7 linked regions of the Macaca fascicularis genome follow. The protein of the gene in region 4 purifies or fractionates together with the protein of the main gene of each other region. This does not show direct contact. Links are inferred from orthologs where the notes say so. Each region holds a gene or a part of one and is shown on either strand. Other genes may lie near its edges. The genes, in order: STXBP4, PPP6R1, SHCBP1, PLK1, ANKRD52, MAVS and PRC1.

What was found.
Region 1: the proteins of PLK1 (region 4) and STXBP4 purify together in Homo sapiens (affinity purification with mass spectrometry; 3 studies listed by BioGRID and IntAct, counting the BioPlex papers as one, with this or other methods). This does not show direct contact. The link is inferred for Macaca fascicularis from reciprocal best matches to the Homo sapiens genes PLK1 and STXBP4.
Region 2: the proteins of PLK1 (region 4) and PPP6R1 purify together in Homo sapiens (affinity purification with mass spectrometry; 3 studies listed by BioGRID and IntAct, with this or other methods). This does not show direct contact. The link is inferred for Macaca fascicularis from reciprocal best matches to the Homo sapiens genes PLK1 and PPP6R1.
Region 3: the proteins of PLK1 (region 4) and SHCBP1 purify together in Homo sapiens (affinity purification with western blotting; 3 studies listed by BioGRID, with this or other methods). This does not show direct contact. The link is inferred for Macaca fascicularis from reciprocal best matches to the Homo sapiens genes PLK1 and SHCBP1.
Region 5: the proteins of PLK1 (region 4) and ANKRD52 purify together in Homo sapiens (affinity purification with mass spectrometry; 3 studies listed by BioGRID and IntAct, with this or other methods). This does not show direct contact. The link is inferred for Macaca fascicularis from reciprocal best matches to the Homo sapiens genes PLK1 and ANKRD52.
Region 6: the proteins of PLK1 (region 4) and MAVS purify together in Homo sapiens (affinity purification with mass spectrometry; 3 studies listed by BioGRID and IntAct, counting the BioPlex papers as one, with this or other methods). This does not show direct contact. The link is inferred for Macaca fascicularis from reciprocal best matches to the Homo sapiens genes PLK1 and MAVS.
Region 7: the proteins of PLK1 (region 4) and PRC1 purify together in Homo sapiens (affinity purification with western blotting; 4 studies listed by BioGRID and IntAct, with this or other methods). This does not show direct contact. The link is inferred for Macaca fascicularis from reciprocal best matches to the Homo sapiens genes PLK1 and PRC1.

Annotation. Positions count from the first base shown.
Region 1 is NC_088390.1:51,691,605-51,695,104, forward strand, and holds part of STXBP4 (syntaxin-binding protein 4), read right to left. Parts: coding exon 3,358-3,500; intron 2,393-3,357; coding exon 2,314-2,392; intron 1-2,313. UniProt on the Homo sapiens protein: Plays a role in the translocation of transport vesicles from the cytoplasm to the plasma membrane. Inhibits the translocation of SLC2A4 from intracellular vesicles to the plasma membrane by STX4A binding and preventing the interaction between STX4A and VAMP2.
Region 2 is NC_088393.1:63,175,863-63,179,362, reverse strand, and holds part of PPP6R1 (serine/threonine-protein phosphatase 6 regulatory subunit 1), read left to right. Parts: intron 1-264; coding exon 265-377; intron 378-473; coding exon 474-587; intron 588-1,123; coding exon 1,124-1,286; intron 1,287-1,371; coding exon 1,372-1,524; intron 1,525-2,502; coding exon 2,503-2,637; intron 2,638-3,500. UniProt on the Homo sapiens protein: Regulatory subunit of protein phosphatase 6 (PP6). May function as a scaffolding PP6 subunit. Involved in the PP6-mediated dephosphorylation of NFKBIE opposing its degradation in response to TNF-alpha.
Region 3 is NC_088394.1:42,490,634-42,493,467, forward strand, and holds part of SHCBP1 (SHC SH2 domain-binding protein 1), read right to left. Parts: intron 1,247-2,834; coding exon 1,160-1,246; intron 807-1,159; coding exon 665-806; intron 1-664. UniProt on the Homo sapiens protein: May play a role in signaling pathways governing cellular proliferation, cell growth and differentiation. May be a component of a novel signaling pathway downstream of Shc. Acts as a positive regulator of FGF signaling in neural progenitor cells.
Region 4 is NC_088394.1:22,751,436-22,754,935, reverse strand, and holds part of PLK1 (serine/threonine-protein kinase PLK1), read right to left. Parts: intron 3,259-3,500; coding exon 3,165-3,258; intron 1,434-3,164; coding exon 1,214-1,433; intron 1-1,213. UniProt on the Homo sapiens protein: Serine/threonine-protein kinase that performs several important functions throughout M phase of the cell cycle, including the regulation of centrosome maturation and spindle assembly, the removal of cohesins from chromosome arms, the inactivation of anaphase-promoting complex/cyclosome (APC/C) inhibitors, and the regulation of mitotic exit and cytokinesis.
Region 5 is NC_088385.1:63,044,959-63,048,458, forward strand, and holds part of ANKRD52 (serine/threonine-protein phosphatase 6 regulatory ankyrin repeat subunit C), read right to left. Parts: intron 3,316-3,500; coding exon 3,114-3,315; intron 2,866-3,113; coding exon 2,778-2,865; intron 2,702-2,777; coding exon 2,584-2,701; intron 766-2,583; coding exon 546-765; intron 361-545; coding exon 273-360; intron 160-272; coding exon 76-159; intron 1-75. UniProt on the Homo sapiens protein: Putative regulatory subunit of protein phosphatase 6 (PP6) that may be involved in the recognition of phosphoprotein substrates.
Region 6 is NC_088384.1:83,432,929-83,436,428, forward strand, and holds part of MAVS (mitochondrial antiviral-signaling protein), read right to left. Parts: intron 2,560-3,500; 5' UTR 2,493-2,559; coding exon 2,376-2,492; intron 1-2,375.
Region 7 is NC_088381.1:75,546,008-75,549,988, forward strand, and holds the start of PRC1 (protein regulator of cytokinesis 1), read right to left. Parts: upstream 2,801-3,981; 5' UTR 2,659-2,800; coding exon 2,648-2,658; intron 1-2,647. UniProt on the Homo sapiens protein: Key regulator of cytokinesis that cross-links antiparrallel microtubules at an average distance of 35 nM. Essential for controlling the spatiotemporal formation of the midzone and successful cytokinesis.

The sequences.
Region 1 (3,500 bases), on a different chromosome or scaffold from region 4:
GAGTCATCTGACCTCTAGTTCATCCTTAGTTCTTTCATTTGTGGTGCTTCCTTAACTTGAAACGATCTCCTGTGTTCAGTTATCAATTGATGTTTACCACGTTTTTCAAGATATGGATAATGTCTGACTTTTGACAAGAAATTTTTCTTAATTTCTGCATATTGTGACAGATTCCTTATTATATACTAGTTTTTGGGGTCAAGGGGAGGACATAAAATTGAATCAAGAATTGGAAGCTTTTCCTTCTGCTCTATAAACACGACCTAGAATATTATCTGAGCTATACTCTAAGCTATAGGTTCTGTATTATTAGTAACAGGAAAATTTAGTAGGCATATACTATGCACTAATTACAATATAAGTGCTTGACATGCATGATCTTGTTTAATCCTCATAACAACTCCGTGTAAACTTGTAACTCTTTCAAGGTTACAGAGTTAATAAGATGAAAGCAAGAACTTGAACACTGAGTCTGTATCCAGAGTCTGGTGGTAACCACTGTGCCTTCCTTATACCATACTCATAGCACTCACTACTTCTTTCCTTAGGCCTCTATGTTCATGTCTTTACATAATTTGTTTAAATGTGTTATTTATCCACAAGACAGAATGGTTTTTAGAGTAACAAAACCACCCACATCCTGCTCCGATTAACACAAAAAACTGCAAATAGTAGCTGCTTGATAAAATAAACATACACACACATCTATAAACAAACACATGCATATAAATTAGAATGTTTCCTAATTTGAATAATTAGAATTTTTAGCCCCATGTTTTATTTCACAATATACTATTAAGTATCTCACAGAAAATATCCTAATTTCTTCATAAATCCCATTGTACTGTATTCTATATAACACAGTAAATCCTTACTGAATAAAAGGTTAAAAGAGGCATTGAATAGTTTAATTACTTTAAAAGTTAAAAACATGTTATATAATTATTAATAATTTATAATATAATCAAGGAATAAAGGATTCTGACTTCCATCATCCAGCAATTTTGATGTTCATCTCATGACTGTTTCATTTGTCTTTTTCTTCTCATATGGGTTCCCAGTTTAAAATAAATATAGTACATCCAGAGACTGGAAATTAATTATGTAAGAGGAATAATACTATAAAGTTTCTAAGGGTCAATAAATCTAAGTAAAAGCAAATATAACTCATGGCTGAAGATTGCTATTAACCCACTTGTAAATACCACCCCAAATCGGAGTAAACCACTGTGGAATATAGTATAAACTCCTGTAAAGATTGGCAGCTATTGGGCTGGGAGCAGTGGCTCATGCCTGTAATCCCAGCACTTTGGGAGGCTGAGGCAGGCAGATCACGAGGTCAGGAAATCAAGATCATCCTGGCTAACACAGTGAAACCCCGTCTCTATTAAAAGTACAAAAAATTAGTTGGGCATGGTGGCGGGCACCTGTAATCCCAGCTACTCGGGAGGCTGAGCCAGGGGAATGGCGTAAACCCAGGAGGCAGAGCTTCGACAGAGCGAGAATCTGTCTCAAAAAAAAGATTGGTTGCTATTTAATTTAAATTAATGCTTCCTTATTTTTCTGTTCTTATATGAATAATGCTATTAAAACAAAACTAAAATATACAGGTAAAAATTTGCATTATAATTAGGCATATATAATTAGTTTTTCAGTTATGTTTAGTCTTTTTATCATTGTGTTTAACTTTTGGAGATAATTTCAGGGGACTTTTTCTTGATATTGATCCTGTAAACACCTTACAGCCAAATAAAAATCCTTATTTTACACTTGGCTTAGATAATTAATGCTTTATTGTTTTAAAAAGTCAGTAAATCATTTTATGGTAATTAAGAATCAATAATAATGAATTAACAATACTGACATCCTTTCTGATTGATATCCATATGATTTCTTCCAAAAAAACAAGACACATTTCTTAAGGTATGCTCCCTTCTATAATGTGTTTTCTGAAAGGTGTATTTAATATGCCTCATCAGTATTGCACTAAAAGGACACGGCAACCTAATCTTGATCTTTATAGAAGACTTTTCATTATTTGATTTAAACAATTCATGAATTATTATAGCTTTATAAACACTGTTATGACAATGCATCTTTTGAAATTTCAACTCTTTGTCCAGGGAAATTTCTAATAAAAGTCGTATTTTAACAGGGACCAACATAAAGACATTATTTTTACTTTTTCATTCACTGAAGGAACAAAGACATAATTCACCCTTCTTCGAAGTCTTAAGTCACATTACATACTCCTCATTGAGAGAGAATTGAAAAAAAAAAAAAACAGGAAAGAGAAATTAAACGTGTATTTACCTGTATTAGACAAACCCACAGAACAGTTTTCTGAAGAAGTAATTGGAATCTGTTCTGTTTTGTTGTATCCAGTTTTTATCTGTGAAAGAAAATGAGGAACATGCAATGTCATTTACTAAAGTAGGTCACTTGAAGCCCATGTTAACATAAAAAGAATGGTTACAGAGATTAAAGTAATTGTCCCTCAAACATGAACCCTCTAAAATTTTGGTATATGCATCTTCAAACAAAGCAATTCAGAATTAAAGGTAACAATTGCTTTCAGCTCTACCACATCCAAGGATAACAAAATATAAGGCCACACATGTTGTCTTTTAAAAGTATTATAGCTGCAAGTGACAAAGTATAAGGGGCTGACAGAAAATCGTATACTCTGTCTCTGTTCAGCATGTACCAGAGACTGAAGTTACCTTTGACGAATTTTATTCTACTGACTAAAAGCATAAGTTCCCTATTTTACAGCTAACACAGACATAAATAATACACACTTTATTCTATAACTGTAATTTGTTAGGACAGTATAGCAGTTAGTAATTGAGTATGTTAATTCTGATATAGAAATTGCCCATTTTGTGTGATTCTACTTGGGTGAACTATAGCACGCATGAAGGTGCAATACCCTCTTAGACTGGATTAGCCTGGGATTAGCCTCACTGTGTGGGAAAGAAGCTAAGAACAAAAGGAAGATGGCCTGACTTCAGTCAAGCAGAGAACAGAAATGGCAAATAACTAAACCAACTGAAACTAAATATGACATTCCTAACATAGTTTTGAGTGATATCTAGGCATATCTTTGTGGAACTATTTCGTCATGCTGGTATTTTCTAACCCATCATGCTTCTGGCCACAGGACATGCTGACTTAAAATATGTTTATTGAAAACACAGCATCAAAATTTTAAATAGAAAAAAATAAAAAAAACTTTCAAAGAAATATTAATTTGTTAACAATTTTACTGAAATAATTCTATATGTATATAACCAATGTAAAAATGTATAGGGAATTTATGGAGTACATACATAAATTTAAGATTACCTGACTTACCTCACAAGAAGGTAAAATGGCATTATTTGTTTTGGGAGTGGATGAGGTCTTTGGGATTAGTATTTCAGGAGGAGAAGAAAAAAAACTAAATGTTGAGGCTTGAGGTCCATATTCTCCTGAAGCTTCTACAAGTGATGTACATG
Region 2 (3,500 bases), on a different chromosome or scaffold from region 4:
AGTAGAGACGGGGTTTCACCGTGTTAGCCAGGATGGTCTCGATCTCCTGACCTTGTGATCCGCCCGCCTCGGCCTCCCAAAGTGCTGGGATTACAGGCTTGAGCCACCGCGCCCGGCCTGTGCCCCCTTCTTCTTAACTCGTGTCCCTGTGTCTGGGTGACCGTTTTTCCCTGGATGGTCAGCTCGGGGGCGGGGCTTCCAGCACCAGGCTGCAGAGGGCCCGGTGGCCCACCCAGGATCCTCACCTGTCTCTCCCCATCCCAGCAACATTCCAACGCGTCCCAGTCCCTGTGTGACATCGTCCGCCTGAGCCGGGAGCAGATGATCCAAGTCCAGGACAGCCCGGAGCCTGACCAGCTGCTGGCCACCCTGGAGAAGTGGGTGTGCGGGCGAAGCTAAGGCTGGGGGGAGCTGACTCGGGGATGCCCTGGGCCCCTGGCCCCTCACCCTGACCCCCGCCCCCACCCCCATAGGCAGGAGACGATTGAGCAGCTCTTAAGCAACATGTTCGAGGTGGAGCAGAGCCAGTCTGTCATCGTCAGTGGGATCCAGGTGCTGCTGACCCTGCTGGAGCCCAGGAGGCCGAGGTGAGGGATATGAGCCGCAGACCATGCATGCTGCCCGTCCCCTGGGGCTCTCTGGCCCCTCAGAGGCGGGTCTCGGTGTCCACCAAGTGAAACTGCCGCCTCCAAGTGGCGCCTTGCTCTGGTGGCCGCTTGTGCTCCCTGTGCAGTGGACAGTATGGGCCCAAGGGAGGAATCTTCCTGTCTTGTTTGACAAATGAGGGCGCTGAGGCTGAGGCCACTGCTGCAGCTTGTGTTGGGAGGGACCTCAGGCCCCCGTGCCCCTGCCTTACCATAAAGGCCTCTAGCTTGTTGGGTGTGCCTTCCCGCCCTCATCCCTCACCGGTGCCCCCACAGTGGACTGCCAATGCTGCCACCTGGCGAGCTCCCCACCCCACCCCAGCCAGGTGTAGTCTGAAGGGCCTCAGAAGAGAGCAGCGCCAGGGGCATGTGGCTCCTCGTCTTCCTCCAGACCCTGCAGACTCAGTCCTTGCGCCTGCTGTCGTGTGGGCACGCAGGCCGTCTAGGCTCACTCTGCCTTTGACCCTGCCCTGCTGCAGGTCCGAGTCCATGACTGTGAACAACTTCTTCAGCAGTGTGGATGGGCAGCTGGAGCTCCTGGCCCAGGGAGCCCTGGAAAGCACTGTGTCCAGTGTGGGCGCCTTGCACGCCCTGCGCCCGCGGCTCAGCTGCTTCCACCAGCTCCTGCTGGAGCCTCCCAAGGTCAGGGGCGGGGGTTGTGGTCCTTGGGGAGGCGGGGGAAGCAGGAAGCGCAGCCCTTGGGAACCAGGGCTCCCTGTATCTGCAGCTGGAGCCGCTACAGATGACGTGGGGCATGCTGGCTCCGCCTCTGGGCAACACGCGGCTGCACGTGGTCAAGCTCCTGGCCAGCGCCCTGAGCGCCAATGATGCAGCCCTGACGCAGGAGCTCCTGGCACTGGACGTGCCCAACACCATGCTGGTGCGGGACTGGACTGGGCTAGGGGCTTAGGGGCTGGGGTGGGACCGGACTGAGCTAGGGGCTCGGGGGCTGGGGGCTCAGGGGCTGGGGTGGGGACCGGACTGGGCTGGGGGCTCGGGGGCTGGGGGCTTAGGGGCTGGGGTGGGACCGGACTGAGCTAGGGGCTCGGGGGCTGGGGGCTCAGGGGCTGGGGTGGGGACCGGACTGGGCTGGGGGCTCGGGGGCTGGGGGTTAAGGGGCTGGGGTGGGACCGGACTGAGCTAGGGGCTCGGGGGCTGGGGGCTCAGGGGCTGGGGTGGGGACCGGACTGGGCTGGGGGCTCGGGGGCTGGGGGTTAAGCGGTTGGGGTGGGGACTGGACTGGGCTAGGGGCTCGGGGGCTGGGAGTTAAGGGGCTGGGGTGGGGACTGGACTGGGCTAGGGGCTCGGGGGCTGGGGGTTAAGGGGCTGGGGTGGGGACCGGACTGAGCTAGGGGCTCGGGGGCTGGGGGGGGGACCGGACTGAGCTAGGGGCTCGGGGGCTGGGGGTTAAGGGGCTGGGGTGGGGACCGGACGGGGCTGGGGGCTCGGGGGCTAGGGGCTTAGGGGCTGGGGTGGGACCGGACTGAGCTAGGGGCTCGGGGGCTGGGGATTAAGGGGCTGGGGTGGGGACCGGACTGAGCTAGGGGCTCAGGGGCTGGGGGCTTAGGGGCTGGGGTGGGGACCGGACTGAGCTAGGGGCTTGGGGGCTGGGGGCTTAGGGGCTGGGGTGGGGACCAGACTGAGCTAGGGGCATGGGGACTGGGAGCTTAGGGGCTGGGGTGGGGACCGGACTGGGCTGGGGGCTCGGGGGCTGGGGTGGGGACTGGTCTGGGTGGGGGCTCAGGGGCTAGGGTGGGGACCAGACTGGGCTGGGGGCTCGGGCGCTGGGGGCTCAGGGGCTGGGGGCTCAGGGGCTGGGGCAGGGCCTCTCTGGTACCAACCCTGTGTCCTCCCATAGGACCTCTTCTTCCACTATGTCTTCAACAACTTCTTGCATGCCCAAGTGGAGGGATGCGTGAGCACCATGCTGAGCTTGGGGCCACCTCCTGACAGCAACCCTGAGACGCCCGTCCAAAACCCTGTTGTGAAACATGTGAGCTGGGACTCCCTGATCCCCTCCTTCTGGGCCCATCCCCTGTGGGCGCACCCTCTCCAGAGGCCTACCCCTCACTTCTTCCTCCCACAAGTGTTCGTTGGGTAGTGTTAGGTGCCAGCACCCAGATGGGATGTGGGAGGCATGGCCAGGGAGAAACGGGGATGAAACATGCAGGTGCAGGGAGCAGTGGGCTCCTGACTTGAACCGAAGAGCTAGGGGTGGGCGGGAGCAGACCTGCGAGCGGCTGTGTGTGCATGAGTGTGCACACATGAGTGTGTGTGTGAGAGCACGTGTCTGTTAGTGCATGCATGTGTGTGAGCATGTGTGTGTGTGTGTGTGCACGCATGAGTGTGTAAGCATGTATGCATGTGTGTGCACGCGTGTGTATGTTAGTGCATGCATGCGTGTGTGAGCACGTGTGAGTCTGCATGCATGAGTGTGTGTGAGCATGTATGCATGTGTGTGCATGCGTATGAGTGTGTCTGTTAGTGCATGCATGTGTGTGTGAACATGTGTGAGTCTGCATGCATGAGTGTGTGAGCATGTATACATGTGTGTGCACGTGTGTGTGAGCATGAGTGTGTCAGTGCATGCATGCGTGTGTGAGCATGTGTGAGTCTGCATGCATGAGTGTGTGAGCATGTATACATGTGTGTGCACGTGTGTGTGAGCATGAGTGTGTCAGTGCATGCATGCGTGTGTGAGCATGTGTGAGTCTGCATGCATGAGTGTGTGTGTGTGAGCATGTATGCGTGTGTGTGCACACGTGAGTGTGTGTGCATGCACCACATACTCTTCGTAGAAAGACCAGAGAGACTTGGCTGGATGCCAGGGTCCCAAGCCCCAGCTTCCATCCCTCC
Region 3 (2,834 bases), about 20 Mb from region 4:
GTAACTGGAGCGGATCCTGAAGGATGACAAGGACTACCCTTTAAACTCTTTCAACCTGAAAAAGCTGATTAAATAAATAAACTGCTTTAAACTTTCCTCACCTACATCAAAGCTTGATAGTGATCTACCTCATAGCTTGAAGTTCACAGATTTCCACTGAGTTAGTTCCCCTTTGCTGCCAAGAACGGCAGGTGACAGGAAGGCATTTACTTCCACCAATAAAAACAGAGATAAACTCCACTATCCCCTCCAGGAAATGCAGCCTGCAACCTGGTACATTCATTTCACTGCCTCCAGCCTTAACAAATGCCAGTAGGAGCCACTGTTGCTATCACACACCCACCATAGCATCACACACCCACCGTTGCTATCGCATACCCACCGTTGCTATCACACATCCACCCTCATTGAAAGCTAAGCATGATAAGGGAACTGCACAGAAACCACAATATCAAGATTTTGAATGACAGTTGAACTAATTGACCTTGAGAGTTTCTTTCACATTCTATAATATCATGGCTTTATCAAGGTTCTCTCTCTCTGTCTGCCCAAGCATATCCCAACAACCTTTTTTAAGGAACAGAGGAAGACTCAGATCCTTAATCAGCATTTAATGCTGAAATAAATTATGTCTGGTTTTTATATTAAAAATTACTAAACATACCTTCAGTTCCATCTTCAGCATTTTCTTGCAGGTCAGAGAAGATTGTAGGTTTCACCAAGACAACACCATAACCTTCATTATTATGTATTATGTTATTCACCATGGATATCTTGGGAATGTCATAATGTTCATCTAAGAAGTCCTGTGACATTGAAAACAAATGTTTTAGGAACTGTCATATTCAACATTTCCTGCCTTAAAAATCTTCTTTATTCATACTATTCTAAAAATAAAGGAGAAAAGCTATGCTTCGTCCCATGTTGTAGCACAGTCTGAGCCCTTAGTGACACAGCTTTCCTCTGTCATTTCTGCAGATCTATAGGTAACAAAGCATTCTCACAAGAGATTCCAATCACTGACTACCGATATTATCAAAATGTGTATACTGCTTCCTTTTCAAAACCAGAAAAACAGAACCCAACAATTTAATAAAGCATAATTTGTAGGTGAAGCCATTCTATCCATTGAAAAGTGGGTGTTTTGGCCAATGCTCACCTTAATGAGGATCCCTTCCTTGCAGTGATGGATCCCATTGTCACTCAGGGTGCACTGACTCCCAGGGTAGATTTCTATACCGGCACCCTGTGAGTCACAGTTTGAGATAATGACAATCAGTTTTTAAAAGGCAAGACTGTAAGAGATTACTACAATTACTTCTTAGCCTTTAACACAGTACAAATGTACAGCACAAAGATAAAGTATTTTACAGGTAAGTGTTATCAGCCATTTTTAATCAACACTTCCATTTGTTCCATTTCTAGCAAGTTGTTGACAATTTATCACTTTCAAAACCACACACACACACACTCACACACAGGCTAAGAGTGTCAACACTTGATTCTTGCTCTACTCTCTTTCATTCTAGATAAATGTTTTCTGATTCTGCCAAGAAAAAAAGTCATTAACAATTTTGTTGAAAGATGTACTTATTCAAAATGACCATTCTCTCAGATACTCAATTAGTTGGAGAAAAGTATTTGAATTTAGTAAAATATTGTAATTTGTGGATAGAAACAAGATCCCACATTTTCCAAAACGTGCCAGTTTTAAAATACCCCAACCCAACTTAAAAATCATTTCTATGAGTTAAACAATGGCTTTCCCTACCACACACGTTAACATTAGCAGCCAGTTCAAGCGTCATTCAAACAGAGTAACCAGAAAGATCAAACATGACACTATTCTCTCACACCTCATGGCACCAAAAAACATAAGAGTAGTAAGAATTTATTTCCCAATGCTATGCAAGGCACTCTGGAAACAAAAATGATTCACTCAAACCTCTATAGTTATTTCAGCAACCATTTGGGAATAATTTAACACACAACAGCATCGATGAAGAAGAGTTGCTACAACCATTGATAACACATCTACTGCATGTATGTTCAGTTAATTTTCTAGTAGCAGTAGTATTCCATGAGAAAACATTTATTATTATTTAACCCTGTACATGTGCCTGAATCATATGTATACACCAATCTAACCCTTCTGTAGAGAGGACTTTAAAAATGTGCTAATTGGGCCTACTTCTAGGAGATTTTCAGTTTGGGGTTATGTGCAAAAAAAGATTAGGGGTGATTACGTTAAAAAATATCTACAGCAAGATAGTTAAAATTAAATATCAAACTATCAGGAATCACATAAAATTTGTAAAGGAGAACAATTTAAACCTGTAGTCATGTAGCAAATGAAAGTCATATTCAAAATATGTTATGAAAAGGAACAGATAATTTGGCAATTAAAAAGTAACTGAGGAGTCTGCCACTTCTGGGATGATGGAGTAGATGTCCCTATTCCTCCTGCTAGGTACAACCAAAAACAATGGGCATTATATATAAAACAAGCATAAGACTAAAAAGTGGAGGGAATAAGACAGACCAGCTAGGGACCTCAGGACCTAAGAAACAACACCAACACAGTGGTAAGTTCCTTTCTTTTTGCTTCATAATCCCTAGACTTGGAGTTGAAGAAGCCAGCAATCCAGTACACCAACAGACATACACTTAAAAAAAAGCTGCTGTAACAAAAGGACTAGGCAACCTAGAAAGACAGAAAACTTTTAGATAATAATAGCTCTATTGCAGGTAAACACCACAGAATAAAACAGCAGCCCCAATCTCACCCATGCCAGCAAAGGTCAAGAGAAAAACTTAAACTTTTGCCCCCTCAA
Region 4 (3,500 bases):
AATTCTGTTCTCTGAAGAGACCTAGAAGCAATGACAACCTAAGCAATGGCATGTGGTTTTTTGATTTTTAAGAAAATGTCCATCTTTTTTAAGAGAAGTATTCTGAAGTTTATGTATAAAAATGGCAAAGTGCCTGGGGTTAACTTTAAAAAATACTTCAAAGAAACAAAAATAAATGAATGAAGCAAACTTGACAAAATCCTGATAACTAATTATTGAATCTGGTAAGTATGAGGGAATCCATTACATTATGCTCTATATGTGTACTTGAAAATTTTCATGCTGGCTGGGTGCAGTGGCTCACACTTGTAAACCCAGTACTTTGGAAGGCCAAGGCGGGCAGATTGCTTGAGCTTAGGAGTTTGAGAACAGCCTGGGCAACAAAGTGAGAATCTGTCTCTACAAAAAATACAAAAAATTAGCCAGGCATGGCAGCACACGCCTGTAGTCTCAGCTGAGATGAGAGGATGACTTGAGCCTGGGAGGCAGAAGTTGCAGTGAGCCAAGATCACACCACTCCACTCCAGCCTAGGAGACAGCCAGACCTGTCTCAAAAAAAAAAAAAAAAAAGGAAATTTTTATGTTTTTCAATGAATCATGAAAAAGTGTTAGAAGGCCAGGCGTAGCAGCTCATGCCTGTAATCCCAACACTTTGGGAGGTGGAGGTGGGAGGATCACTTGAGCCCAGGAGTTCCAAGACCAGCCTAGGCAACATGGCAAAACACTGTCTCTACAAAAACAAAAAAAAATTAGCCAGGCATGGTGGCTCATGCCTGACAGTCCCAACTACTTGGGAGGCTGAGATGGGAGGATTGATTGAACCCTAGAGTTGAAAGCTGCAGTGAGCTGTGATTGTGCCTCTACACTCCAACCTGGAAAACAGAGGAGAGACCCTGTCTCCAAAAAATTAAATTAATTAATTAAAGTGATTGGAAAGAATTTTTTAGGCTTGGTATTCAGTCCATTTTCTTCTTCTTGAGCACAGCAGGTTTATCCAGCCATGGTAAGGTCAGTCTTTCCCGGCAAGGCCGAGGAGCAGATGGGCATGGGAATCACGAATTTAAGCAGATGGGCATGGGAATCACGAATTTAAGGACAGAGGTCTGTCCTAAACCAAACCTGAGCTCTTGGGGCCAGGGACTAAGCCACACACACCCCTACAACCTGGGCTTTCTCTGGGGAGTCTGCTCTCTTACCCAGACCCTTGTTGTACCTTTATTGAGGACTGTGAGGGGCTTCCGGTTGCTGGGGTCCAGGCTGCTGGGAGCAATTGAAAACCTCGGTGGAATGGTCAGGCAGGTGATGGGGAGACGGGCAGGGATATAGCCAGAAGTAAAGAACTCGTCGTTAAGCAGCTCATTAATGGTTGGGCGGGCAGTGGGATCTGTCTGAAGCATCTTCTGGATGAGGGAGGCGGCCACGGGGTTGATGTGCTAGGGCAGAGAGAGGGACAGCCATAAGCAGAATGTGAAGGGGACCCGGAGTACAGTACGGCCTCAAAGGGGCTGCAGGCCAATAGACCACACGCAGTCCCCAGTCTCAAATACACCCCAGGTTAGTGGTTCACAACTTGGTTCAATGCCAACTTCTCCACTGTCGGCTTTACTGAGCACCTTTGACAGAAGGGTCAATGGACTGTGGCCTAGCACCAACTCACTTTCCTGGCACTTACTATGTGCCAGGAAAGCATTCTAAGCACTCCTGTACTTAGCTCACTTAGCCCTCACTAATACATCTAAGGGGTGGGGCTCTATTATCATCCCTTTTTTGCAGAGGAGGAAAGTGAGGCACAGAGAGGGTGAAGGCCTTGTCTAGTTGGCTTGATTCCATGCTGTCTCTGACAGTGAACTGACACTTTGTGATGGATTTACTATGTCCGTCCTTATGGTGACAGGCCTCTTGGCTTCACACAAGGACACTACACTTCAAACTGGCTGTGTGCTAGGCTTCTGCAGGAACCAGCTATTCCTTTAAATGCATTTCTGTTGGTGGTTGTGAAAATACACACCATGGCCAGGTGCGGTGGCTCACGCCTGTAATCCTAGCACTTAGGGAGGCTGAGGCGGGCAGATCACAGGGTCAGGAGATTGAGACCATCCTGGCTAACACAGTGAAACTCTCTTTCTACTAAAAATACAAAAAAAGTAGCCGGGTGTGGTGGCGGGCACCTGTAGTCCCAGCTACTCAGGAGGCTGAGGCGGGAGAATGGTGTGAACCCAGGAGGGGGAACTTGCAGTGAGCCGAGATCGCATCACTGCATTCCAGCTTGGGCGATACAGTGAGACTCTGTCTCAAAAAAAAAAAAAAAAAAAAAAAAGGAAATTGCACACCACTATGCCATTAGGAAGCCCTGGGATTCAGTGATTCATAATTCTGTGAGCACTTACTACATGTAAGGCACTCTGTGAGGTGCTCCAAGGCAGGAACTCCACTTTATAGACGAGAACTATGGTTCAGAAGATGCAGGCCAGGCTGGGCATGGTGGCTCATGCCTGTAATCCCAGCACTCTGGGAGGCTGAGGCGGGTGGATCACCTGAGGTCAGGAGTTCGAGACCATCCTGGCCAACGTGGTGAAACCCCATCTCTACTAAAAATACAAAAAAAAAAAAAAAAAAAGCCAGGCAAGGTGGTGGGTACCTGTAATCCCAGTTACTTGGGAGGTTGAGGCAGGAGAATCGCTTGAACCTGGGAGGTGGAGGTTGCAGTGAGTCGAGAGTCGAGATCATGCCACTGCACTGGGGAACAAGAGTAAAACTCTACCTCAAAAAAAAAAAAAGAAAAAAAAGAAAAAAAAAAGATGCAGGCCATTTGCCCAATGTGATCTGGCTAAGTGGCAGAATCCATTTGAATTAAGATAATCCATTTCCAAAGCTTAAGCACTTTAGCCTCCTACTCCTTCCTACCTCCTTTGTTTTTTGCTTTTTACGCAACTTTTGGGCTACCCAATCTCTTGAGAATCTGCCAACTCTCTCCCCCTAGAAAAAATGCTTATGTGCACATACATGTCAAGTTCTGTATGTAATTTCAGACACAGGCCCTCGCAAGCTCTGTGGCTATCCTAGAGGTGGGATAGACCTATTTCTGGTCTTAGGATATTGCTGGGCTCCATAAACAGCTTTTGGGGAAAACAAAATAAATGTAAAGTTAAAGCATCATTAGTCACCTTGGGAATACTGTATTCATTCTTCTTGATCCGGAGGTAGGTCTCTTTTAGGCAAGAAGTCTCAAAAGGTGGTTTGCCCACTAACAAGGTATACCTGTAAGCACAAGGTAGGATTTGGCACCAGCCTCCCAGCCACAACCCAGACATAAGAGAAATCATCTCAGGGTCAGAACAAAGACCAGGCATCCTCTGGACACTCACTGTAACTCTGGGGCCCCTGAAGACAACCAAGTCCACTGAGCAGCCCCAGGAGCCATAATATTGGCTAGAATGAGCCCTTAGCAGAATACACGTGGTGAGACTAGGATTCTTAGGGGCCAGTGATTTTTTAGTTGT
Region 5 (3,500 bases), on a different chromosome or scaffold from region 4:
GGAAGAGTATACTGCCCAAGCAGAAAGAGGAAGCCAGAGGCAACTGGACTTCTCCCCAAGTCTTCTATCACCCACCGTCCTTTGGCATCTCGGCTGTTCACAATCTTGGCACCCAGAGCTCCCAGCAGCATCTCTGTGGTGCTGTCCTGGTTATTAATCCTAGAGGAACAGGGAGGAGGGGTCATCAGGAAGGACAAGGGAAGTAGGCTACCTGTCCTAAGCTCAGGTCATGGGCCCTCGCAAGAAGGGCTGATGCAGCAGAAGGGACTTACACTGCACAGTGCAAAGGAGTGAAGGGGTTTCCTTCCAGGTATGAAAACGGGCTGTGTTCAAGTAACAACTCCAGACAATCTTCGTGTCCTGGGCATGAGTAAGGAAGAGTTGTGATGGAGAAAAACAACAAGGTTCCCTGTCTGTCCTGTGTCTTGACACTCCAGTCTACTTCCAGATTCAGATCAACCCAGGTCACTCCCAAAACCCACCCGTCCTCCTCTACACACACTCCAACACATACTCCTGTGCCTGTGGAGGCCCCAGTCTAGTACCAGTGTAGGAGGCCCAGTGCATGGGCGAGTATCCGCTGTAATCCACCCCAGCATCCAGGGGGTCTGTGGAAAGGGCAGCCTGCAGCAGGGTCCGCAGTACTGCAGTGTGGCCACAGGCTGAGGCCAGGTGAATGGGTGTGCGGCCCTTAAAGTCTCGGCACAGCACAAATGCGTCGTGGTCCAGCAGGGCAGCCAGGCAGTCCTCACAGCCAGTCACTGCCTGTGAGTAACATGGGGGTGTGAAGGGGATGAAAAGCTCCTTCTTTTCTGCTGGCCTGTTGCTTGAGTCTGGCTCAGGAGTAAGAACCACTTCCAGGGCTCCAATCCTTGTCTTTTTTTTTTTTTGGAGACAGAGTCTTGCTCTGTCACCCAGGCTGGAGTGCAGTGGCACAATCTTGGCTCACTGCAACCTCTGCCTCCCAGGTTCAAGCGATTCTCCTGCCTCAGCCTCCCGAGTAGCTGGGATTACAGGCAGGTGCCACCATGCCCGGCTAATTTTTTTGTATTTTTACTAGAGATGGGGTTTCACCATGTTAGCCAGGATGGTCTTGATCTCCTGACCTCGTGATCCGCCTGCCTTGGCCTCCCAAACTGCTGGGATTACAGGCATGAGCCACTGCACCTGGCCTCAATCCTTGTCTTTACAACAATGATTATTATTTTTTTTGAGACAAGAGTCTCACTCTGTCACCCAGGCTGGAGTGCAATGGTGTGATCTTGGCTCACTGCAACCTCTGCCTCCCGGGTTCCAGCAATTCTGTCTCAGCCTCCTGAGTAGCTGGGATTATAGGCATGCACCACCACGCCCAATTAATTTTTGTATTTTTAGTAGAGACAAAGTTTCACCATGTTGGCCAGGCTGGTCTCGAACTCCTGACCTCAGCTGATCCACCCGCCTTGGCCTTCCAAAGTGCTGGGATTACAGACGTGAGTCACCGCGCCCGGCCCTTTACAACAATGATTCTAAGTGTCACATCTCCCTCCTTGACTCTCTCTATGCCAATAAACATTCAGGATACTAAGAGTTAGAGCTCTGGAGTGAAAGACTAAACAGAGAGAAGAAGGAGACTAAGGGATCAAAAAATCTTGTGGGAGGAGGAGGCAGCTGAGGACAGGTGGTCGCGGAAGAGGATCTAGGTGGTGCTGACATTATGCGATGGGATGGGGCCAGCAGGGTATCCCAAGTAGAGTGAGTGGTAAGCACTCAGTTGTATGTGATTACAAAGCACAGATATCGGCCAGGCACAATGGCTCACGCCTGTAATCCCAACCCTTTGGGAGGCCAAGGCGGGTGGATCTCATCATCAGGAGATTGAGACCATCCTGGCTAACACAGAGAAACTTGGTCTCTACTAAAAATAAAAAAATTAGCTGGGCGTGTCATCCCAACTACTCGGGAGGTTGAGGCAGGAGAATCGCTTGAACCCGGGAGACAGAGGTTGCAGTGTGCCGAGATCACGCCACTGAACTCCAGCCTGGGCAACAGAGCAAGACTCCGTCTCAAAAATAATAATAACAACAATAATAATAATAATAAAACAAAGCACAGATACCAGGGAAATCAGCTGGGGATGTCAGGGACTCATCCTGGAGCAAGCACAAGGCTCAATAAGATCCTGGGCACAGCATGGGCCTGGTGGCTCGCACCTGTAATCCCAGCACTTCAGGAGGCCAAGGTTGGGGGATCACTTGAGCCCAGGAGTTCAAGACCAGTTTGGGCAAGATGGTAAGATCCCCATCTCTACAAAAAATACAAAAATTAGCTGGGCATGGTGGCATGTGCCTATAGTTTCAGCTACTCAGGAGGCTGAAGTGGGAGGATCACCTGAACCCAGGAAGTCAAGGCTGCAGTGAGCCATGATAGTGTCACTGCACTCCAACCTGGGCAATGGGAGTGAGACCCTGTCTCCAAAAAAAAAGAGACTGGGCACAAAATCCTGGCTCGCCTCCTAGACAATTGGATTCCCTACTGCTGGTGAGTCCCGTGCTCCCACACTGAGGCCCACATGCAAACAATCCCCCCCAGAAGCTCACTCACCCCGCGGTGGAGGGCGGTGCGGCCCCGGAGGTCAGCAGCATCAGCTGTGGATCCTTTCTCTAGCAGCAGATGTACACAGTCCACATGGCCATTCATGATGGCCAGCATCAGTGGGGTCCTACAGAGGGGCAGGAGGAGGAGTGAGGATCCCACAAGGACTGGAAAACCTGCACCCCACCCTGGCCCACACTCACTGTCCATAGGCATCCATGACATCTGTGATGTCAGCTCGTTCCCCACTGTCGATCAGCAAGTGCAGGGAGTCAGTGTGGCCAGAGGCAGCTAGGGGAAAGGGACCCCGCGTCAGGGCAGGGCCAAGAGGAAGAAGGGAGGCGAGGTCAAGCCTAAAGGACTTGGGGTCAATGTTACAGGAAGACCTGGGCCACAGAGAAATCTCTGAGGATAGGAAGCTATGAATCAGGGCTTGAAGTCTCTATTCTCCTCACCCTACTCCACTTTCCAGCCCCATTCCCATCCAGGAGGGATCTGGCATGGCAAGGGTAAGGCAGCAGCCTCAAGTGGGCACTAACCAGCAGCGTGCAGGGGCGTCCACTTGCGCTTGCGCTCCTTGATGAGGGCAGAGGCGCCATGGGCCGTAAGCACCTCCACACACTCAGTAGAGCCGCGCTCCGTGGCCAGGAAGAGTGCGGTCCGGCCCTTGTGGTCCCTTACGTCCAGATTCACCAGCGTCTCTGCCAGTGTCTTCAAGGCTTCACAGTGACCGTTGTAGGCCTGGAGGGGTGCAGGCAACCAGTGCACACAGCTTGGGACCTTCCCTGCTCTTCCCTTCCCCTTCTCTGCTCTTGGGGTCCATGGGAAGCTCAAGGTCTTAGTCCTCGACAAGCTCCTTGGGCCCCTCAAGGCTTCCTACCCTGCACTGTGTTTATCCCCTCTCCCACAAAAAGGCAGAAGCAAGG
Region 6 (3,500 bases), on a different chromosome or scaffold from region 4:
GTGCTGGGATTACAGGCGTGAGCCACTGTGCCCAGCCCTAGAGTTTTTATGTCTATCTGAATTCCCACATTAAAAACAAGCAACCAGATAGCAGAAACAAAAACCCACAGAATCCTGCAGGAGCTAGATTTTTAGAAAAAGGAAAATAGCCAGGCGCGGTAGCTCACACCTGTAATCCCAGCACTTTGGAAGGCCAAGGATCACGAGGTCAGGAGTTCGAGACCAGCCTGACCAACATGGTGAAACCCCGTCTCTACTAAAAATACAAAAATTAGCTGGGCATGGTGGCACGTGCCTGTAATCCCAGCTACTCAGGAGGCTAAAGCAGGAGAATCGCTTGAACCCAGAAGGCAGAGGTTGCGGTAACCCGAGATGGCACCACTGCACTCCAGCCCAGAAGACAGAGCAAGACTCTATCTCAAAAAAAAAAAAAAAAAAAGGCCGGGCACGGTGGCTCAAGCCTGTAATCCCAGCACTTTGGGAGGCTGAGACGGGTGGATCACGAGGTCAGGAGATCGAGACCATCCTGGCTAACACGGTGAAACCCCGTCTCTACTAAAAAATACAAAAAAAAACTAGCCGGGCGAGGTGGCGGGCGCCTGTAGTCCCAGCTACTCGGGAGGCTGAGGCAGGAGAATGGCGTAAACCCGGGAGGCGGAGCTTACAGTGAGCTGAGATCCGGCCACTGCACTCCAGCCTGGGCCACAGAGCGAGACTCCGTCTCAAAAAAAAACAAAAACAAAAACAAAAACAAAACAAAACAAAACAAAATATTGTACCACTGCACTCCAGCCTGAGTGACAAGAGCAAGACTCGGTCTCAAAAATAAAAATAAAGACCAGCCTGGCCAACATGGTGAAACTGTCTCTACTAAAAATACAAAACTAGCTGGGCGTGGTGGCTTATGCCTGTAATCCCAGCACTTTGGGAGGCCAGGCGGGCGGATCATGAGGTCAGGAGATCGAGACCATCCTGGCTAACACGGTGAAACCCAGTCTCTACTAAAAGTACAAAAAATTAGTCGGGCATGGTGGCAGGCGCCTGTAGTCCCAGCTACTCGGGAGGCTGAGGCAGGAGAATGTTGTGAACCCGGGAGGCAGAGCTCGCAGTGAGCCGAGACTGCGCCACTGCACTCTAGCCTGGAACAGAGTGAGACTCCGTCTCAAAAAAAAAAAAAAAAAAATACAAAACTAGCCAGGTGTGGTGCCATGCGCCTGTAACCCCAGCTACTCAGGAGGCTGAGGCGCGAGAATCACTTGAACCCGGGAGGCGGAGGTTGCAGTGAACTGAGATCACACCACTGCACTCCAACCTGGGCAACTGAGTGAGACTCTGTCTCAAAAAAAATTTTTTAAAGAAAATAAAACCCACAGAAAATATTTACTACAAAACAAGATATCCCTATAAACCCCAAAATACAAGAGGGAGGGGCAAACCCCAAACAGACCTGCATACTAACACGATCTGTGTGGGAGGACACCAGAGACAGCAATGGGGCTCCTGAGAAATCTGAGGACAGGAGGCCCCAAAAGAGCCAACAGGTACCCTCTGGAGCACAGGGGTCCAATCTGAGAATAGCAGCTACAACGGGGAGGGGTTGTGCCCGTTTCACCAGCTAGTGAGTGCCAGGGGCCTGCAGCAAGTTCTGTTGGGGCTAGAGCGACCTGGCTCCTGCCTGCTCTCAAACCTGAGTCCCAGCGCTGTGCCTGGACAGGGCCCCATGACAAGGAGAATGGAGTCAAAACTGAGCAGGACAAGGAAGGGCAAGAGAGATGAAGGAAATAGGAGGTTCCAAAAAAAGTGGGCAAGTGGACCAGAGCCAGGAAATCTCAGAGAGCCAGTGCCATGTTTTTGAGCAGTGTACAAAAACAACACAACGGGGAGTTCGGCGAAGTCAGCAATGCCACCCCGAGCCACACTTCATCCAAAAGTTAGAAAAGCAGCAACGGCGCTCACGCCTGTAATCCCAGCACTTTCGGAGGCTGAGGCAGGTGGATCACGAGGTCAAGAGATCGAGACCATCCTGGCCAACATGGGGAAACCCCGTCTCTATTAAAAACACAAAAATTAGCTGGGCGTGGTGGCACACACCTGTAATCCCAGCTACTCGGGAAGCTGAGGCAGGAGAATCACTTGAACCTGGGAGGCGGAGGTTGCAGTGAGCCAAGATCATGCCACTGCACTCCAGCCTGGCGACAGAGTGAGGCTCTGTCTCAAAAAAAAATGAAAAGCAGCAAGGACAAGGAGCAAGACACAGCAAGAGGCAGAAGGAAGGAGCCAGCCCTGGCTTGGGTGAGGAACTAGGATAGGGCTGAGCTTTGAATTCCACAGTCCTGCCCCCAGGCCAGTATCCGGTTGTCACTTCCCTTGCTCACCTGGTCTCTTGCTGTGAGGCAGGGCAGGTAAGGCAGAATCTCTACAACATCCACATTGCAAAAATTGCTGAAATTGCGGCAGATATACTTATAGGTCTTGTCTTCAGCAAACGGCATTGCTGCTCAGATTCTAGAGAGAGGGCTCTGGCCCCGTGAAGGGTGGATGGACTGAGAGGAAACGAGACTGGAAGAAAACAGAATCACACATGACAACAGGGTTGGGAGTGGGGCTGGACAAAAGGCAATTCTTTCTCAACTTTTTGGAATTTTTGTTTTCTTTCATCTTGAATTTCTTCTTCTTTTTCTTCTTTTTTTTTTTTTTTTTTTTTTTTGAGACTGAGTCTCACTCTGTCGCCCAGGCTGGAGTGCAGTGGCGCGATGTTGGCTCACTGCAACCTCTGCCTCCTGGGTTCAATTGACTCTTACCTCAGCCTCCTTCCCCAGTAGCTGGGATTACAGGTGCCCACCACCATGCCCAGCTAATATTTGTATTTTTAGTAGAGATGGGGTTTCACCATGTTGGCAGGCTGGTCACGGACTCCTGACCTCAAGTGATCCACCCGCCTCAGCCTCCCAAGTTTGGAGATTACAGGCGTGAGCCACCACACCCGGCTTTTTTTTCTTTTTCTTTTTCTTTTTTAAGAGACGGGGTCTCAGGCTGGGCACAATGGTTCATGCCTATAATCCCAGCACTTTGGGAGGCCAAGTTGGGGGATTACCTGAGGTTGGGAGTTGGAGACCAGCCTGACCAACATGGAGAAACCCCGTCTCTACTAAAAATACAACAACAACAACAACAACAACAAATTAGCTGGGCATGGTGGTGCATGCCTGTAGTCCCAGCTACTCGGGAGGTTGAGGCAGGAGAATTGCTTGAACCTGGGAGGCAGAGGTTGAGGTGAGCCGAGACCACGCCATTGCACTCCAGCCTGGGCAACAAGAGCGAAACTCCATCTCAAAAACAAACCAACCAACCAAAAAAGAGATGGGGTCTCACTCTGTCACCCAGGTTGGGTGCAGTGGTGCAATCATACTTCACTGCAGCCTCAAATTTCTGGGCTCAAGCAATCCTTCTGCCTCAGCGTCCCAGGTAGCTGGAACTACAAACTTGCGCCACTATGCCCA
Region 7 (3,981 bases), on a different chromosome or scaffold from region 4:
CTCTGCTGCTACCACTACCACCCCCACCCTCGTCCAGGTCACTGCCACTAACTTTTTGCTGTATGGCAATGGCTTCTTAACTGGTCTCCCTGCTTCAATGCTGGCCTCCTTAAGTCTATTGTCAACACAGGAGCCCCAAGTCCTAATCTTCTACTCAGAACCCTCCAATGACTTGCCATCTCACTCCAAGGAAAAGCCTCTGGCTTTGCAAAGCCCTATGAAGGCCCATTCCATCTGAAAGCCATTTCTTTTGACCTCAGTGCTCATTCTATTCCTGTCACAGAGACCTCCTTGCTCTTTCTGGAACATACCAGGCACTATCCCCGCTTAGGGCACTTGGATATGCTGATTACCTAGATCTCTTTTCCCCCATGCTGCATGGCTTCACCCTTTTCCTCCTTAGGTCTTTGCTCAGAGATCACCTTCTCAGGGAGGCCTTTCCTGACCCATCTCTTTAAAACCACAACCCCACTTCCTACACCTTCAGTACTTCTTATCCCCTTTCTCTGCTTGATTTCTCTACATAGCACTTATCACCATTTAAGATTAACTTATTTATTACACTCCTGTTTTGCTATTAGAATACAAACTCTGTGAGGACAGGGATGTCACTTTTGCTCACTGCTATATCCCCACCACTTGGAATGGTTCCTTGTATATAACATTCAAGAATTATTTTTCTTTTCTTTTTTAGTATAGATTATTATTATTTTTTAGAGACAGGGTCTTGCTATGTTGCCCCAGGCTGGTCTTGAACTCCTGGGCCCAAGTCATCCTCCCACCTTGGCCTCCTAAAGTGCTGGGATTACAGGTGTGAGCCACTGTGCCAGGCCCAAGAAGTCTTTTTGAATGAATAATGTGACATTTCAAAAAAGTTGTATGTTCTTAAGATGCTTCAGAGCAATCATTATGAACAATTGTCATGATACACTGAAATACTACCTGGCTAAATTGTTTCAGGTAATCCCCTAAAAGGAGCAAGTCTGAGATTTTTTTTAGACTCACTGAAAAACTCAGAGTGCATACAAAGACTACCACTCAAGGACACAAAGGTTGTAGAATGAGTCAGTTTTTTCAGTCTTGAACATAAATCACTGGACTGGAAGAAATCTCAAAGTGGTCCTCTAAATTATTTCCTACCTTCAGGCAGCCTTCACTGATCCACTGCCCTATTTTTTCTTAGCACTCCAGAGAAGGAGCTTTGTTGATCTCCTGTGCAACCTGTTTCGGGGACCGATAACCATAATTAATTCTGGCCAGAGTTTTGTTTGAGCCTCAGAGGTCAAAGCTGCAGTGAGGAATCTCGCCACTGCACTCCAGCCTGGGTGACAGAGTGAGACCCTGTCTCAAAAAAAAAAAAAAAAAGTCAAATTATATCCATTAGCCTGGAACCAACACTAAAGGGTAATTTTTTCTCCTGCTTCATTCAATCCCTTGATAGAGGAGATGCCTAAATAATTCATAAACTGTTAATGGACTTTTTTTTTTGAGACAGTCTCACTCTGCCACCCAGGCTGGAATGCAGTGTCGAGATGTCGGCTCATGCAACCTCTGCCTCCCAGGCTCAAGCGATTCTCCTGCCTCAGCCTCCTGAGAAGCTGGGGCTACAGGCGCACCACCACGCCCGGCTAATTTTTGTATTTTCAGTTAAGACGGGGTTTCACCATGTTGGCACTCAATTCTCATTATTCTGAGGGCAAGCATTTGAAAAAGACAGATCAGAATCAGTGATCATGAAATGAAGAATCTTACAAAGCCTTAGAACAATCAGTTTCACCAAAAACTACAAATTAACGCTGTATCATCACAATAATTCATCTACAACTTTCAGAAATTAAAGTTAATATTTGGAAGGCACAAGGCTGGTAAGTGTCAGTGTCACTGGTCCGGATTTCAAGTCGGTCAGTCCCTCCCCAACACTGCCTAGGAAGTTATTAAAACGACCGGAAAAGAATTCCATAATCCGTTTCTTAACTTGCAAAGAAACAAAGCTATCTTTCCAATTCAAACAAAACGTTAACACCGCTGGCCAGATATAAAGAAAAACAACGGGCCGGGCGCGGTGGCTCACGCCTGTAATCCCAACACTTTGGGAGGCCGAGGTGGCAGGATCACCTGAAGCCAGGAGTTCGAGACCAGCCTGGCCAACATAGGGAGACCGCGTTTCCACAAAAACAAAGAATAAAACAAAACAATGATAAATAAACTTAACAGCTTTAAAGAGAAGCCAGGACCACAGAAGGTTTACGAGTCATCTGCGCCAAGAAGCGGCACCTGAGACGCCGAGGGCGGGGAGGGTGGGGTCCGAGCGCCAGCGCTGACCGCCAGGGTGGAGGCCGACCCGGGCCCCCGGCCTCGCTTGCCCTGCCGCGTCCGGGCACCGGCGCTCGGCTCCCACCCGGGCGTCTGAGCCTGCGGACACCCGCGGCCGCCGGGGGACAGCGCGTCAGGTCTCACCTCCGTCGCGGCCCTCGCACTGGCTCGCCGCCTCCAGACCCTGCCTCTTCGCGCCCCCGGCCTCACTCAGCGCCGACTGCTGTGACGCCCTAGTCCCGGGACCCCGCACGGGCCCCGCACCCCTGAACCCCTGAACCCGAGACGGGCGTCGCTCTCTCCCGCGTCCCCTCGATTTCCCCGCAACCCGCACCTTCTCCTCATGGCAGACGCTCCAAGCAGCCGTCAGTCCAGCTCTAGACCTACTCAACACCGCCACGAGAGCAACAACCACCCGCAAACACCGGCGATCTCACTCCGGGTAGCCGCTCCGTGAGCCGTTGAGCCCCGCAAAATTTCAAACCGCGCCGCGGGGCGAAGCCTCGCTGCGATTGGCGTCGCGTCCCGTCGCTCCACGAAAATCCCCGCCCCTCGGGTTGCAGCTCGCGGGTGCGCAGTCGGGGCGGGGACTCGTGAGCGGGGCCCGGGAAGCGCTGGAGCGGGGCGGGGGATGACGTCACTGTCTGTGAGTGGGCGGGCGTGGCCTGCACCTCCCACTTCCCTCGATTGGCTGCAGCCTCAAGGGACTCCCCTCCCGAGTCGGCTACGTCATCGGAGCACCGCCCCGCCCCGCCCCGCCCGGCGCAGTTTGTCTTCGAAGTGCGCGGGCGGGGAAGGAGTTGAGAGCACCGCGGCTTTCCGGCTTCCCTGAGTCCCGGCTGCCGGGACCGGGAGCGGGGAGGAATAGGAAAGTTAGAGCCTAGTTTCCCTTGCTCATCCAAGAAGCGAACGTTGGAACCGATCTTTGGTGGGACTTCTCCCCAGATGTAGGAAGCCGTACACTAAGGGGAAGGGAAGGAACATTGAGCCCTGCTCATGGGCCTGGAACCTTTCAACGCTAGTTATCCTATTTAACCTCCACAATCCTGTTATGGCAAGTATTGTCACCATTGCAGAGGAAACTCAAAAAGATTTGAATGATTTGCCCAACTCACCTGATTGGTGAATAAATGCAGATCACCTAGGTGTGGTTTTCTTTCAAATTAGTTTCTAAATTGTTACATGAAAAATTTAAAACTCAAAATAAACATCATAGTACTTTTGTAGCCTCCTTTCCTCGATGAACATGTTACATCCCTAAATGCTTATATATCACATTTTTTTTCCCAGTGATTCATGGTGGCATAATATCCTGGTGTGTAGCTATCTCGCCCATTCTGCTATTGATATTTAGATAATTCAAAATATAAGGCTGGACTGAATATCTTCATACATAAATCTTTGCATCCTGCATTTTCGTATGGCTGATTCCTAGAGGTGTAATTACTGAATGCTCCCTTTATTAATTTGCCTTCTGCACAAAGCCTCACCGGAAAAGTACCCTCCTTTTGTTACCCTCAGCAGGGCTGAATTCTATCATACTTTTAAACATCTTTGCTCATTTTGTAGGTAAAATAATAATACTGGCATTTCCTTGTTTGGCACTTGATTATAACTGAAATTGCACATTTTTCGTGTTTACTGGCCAACTGTAACTTACGTTCATAT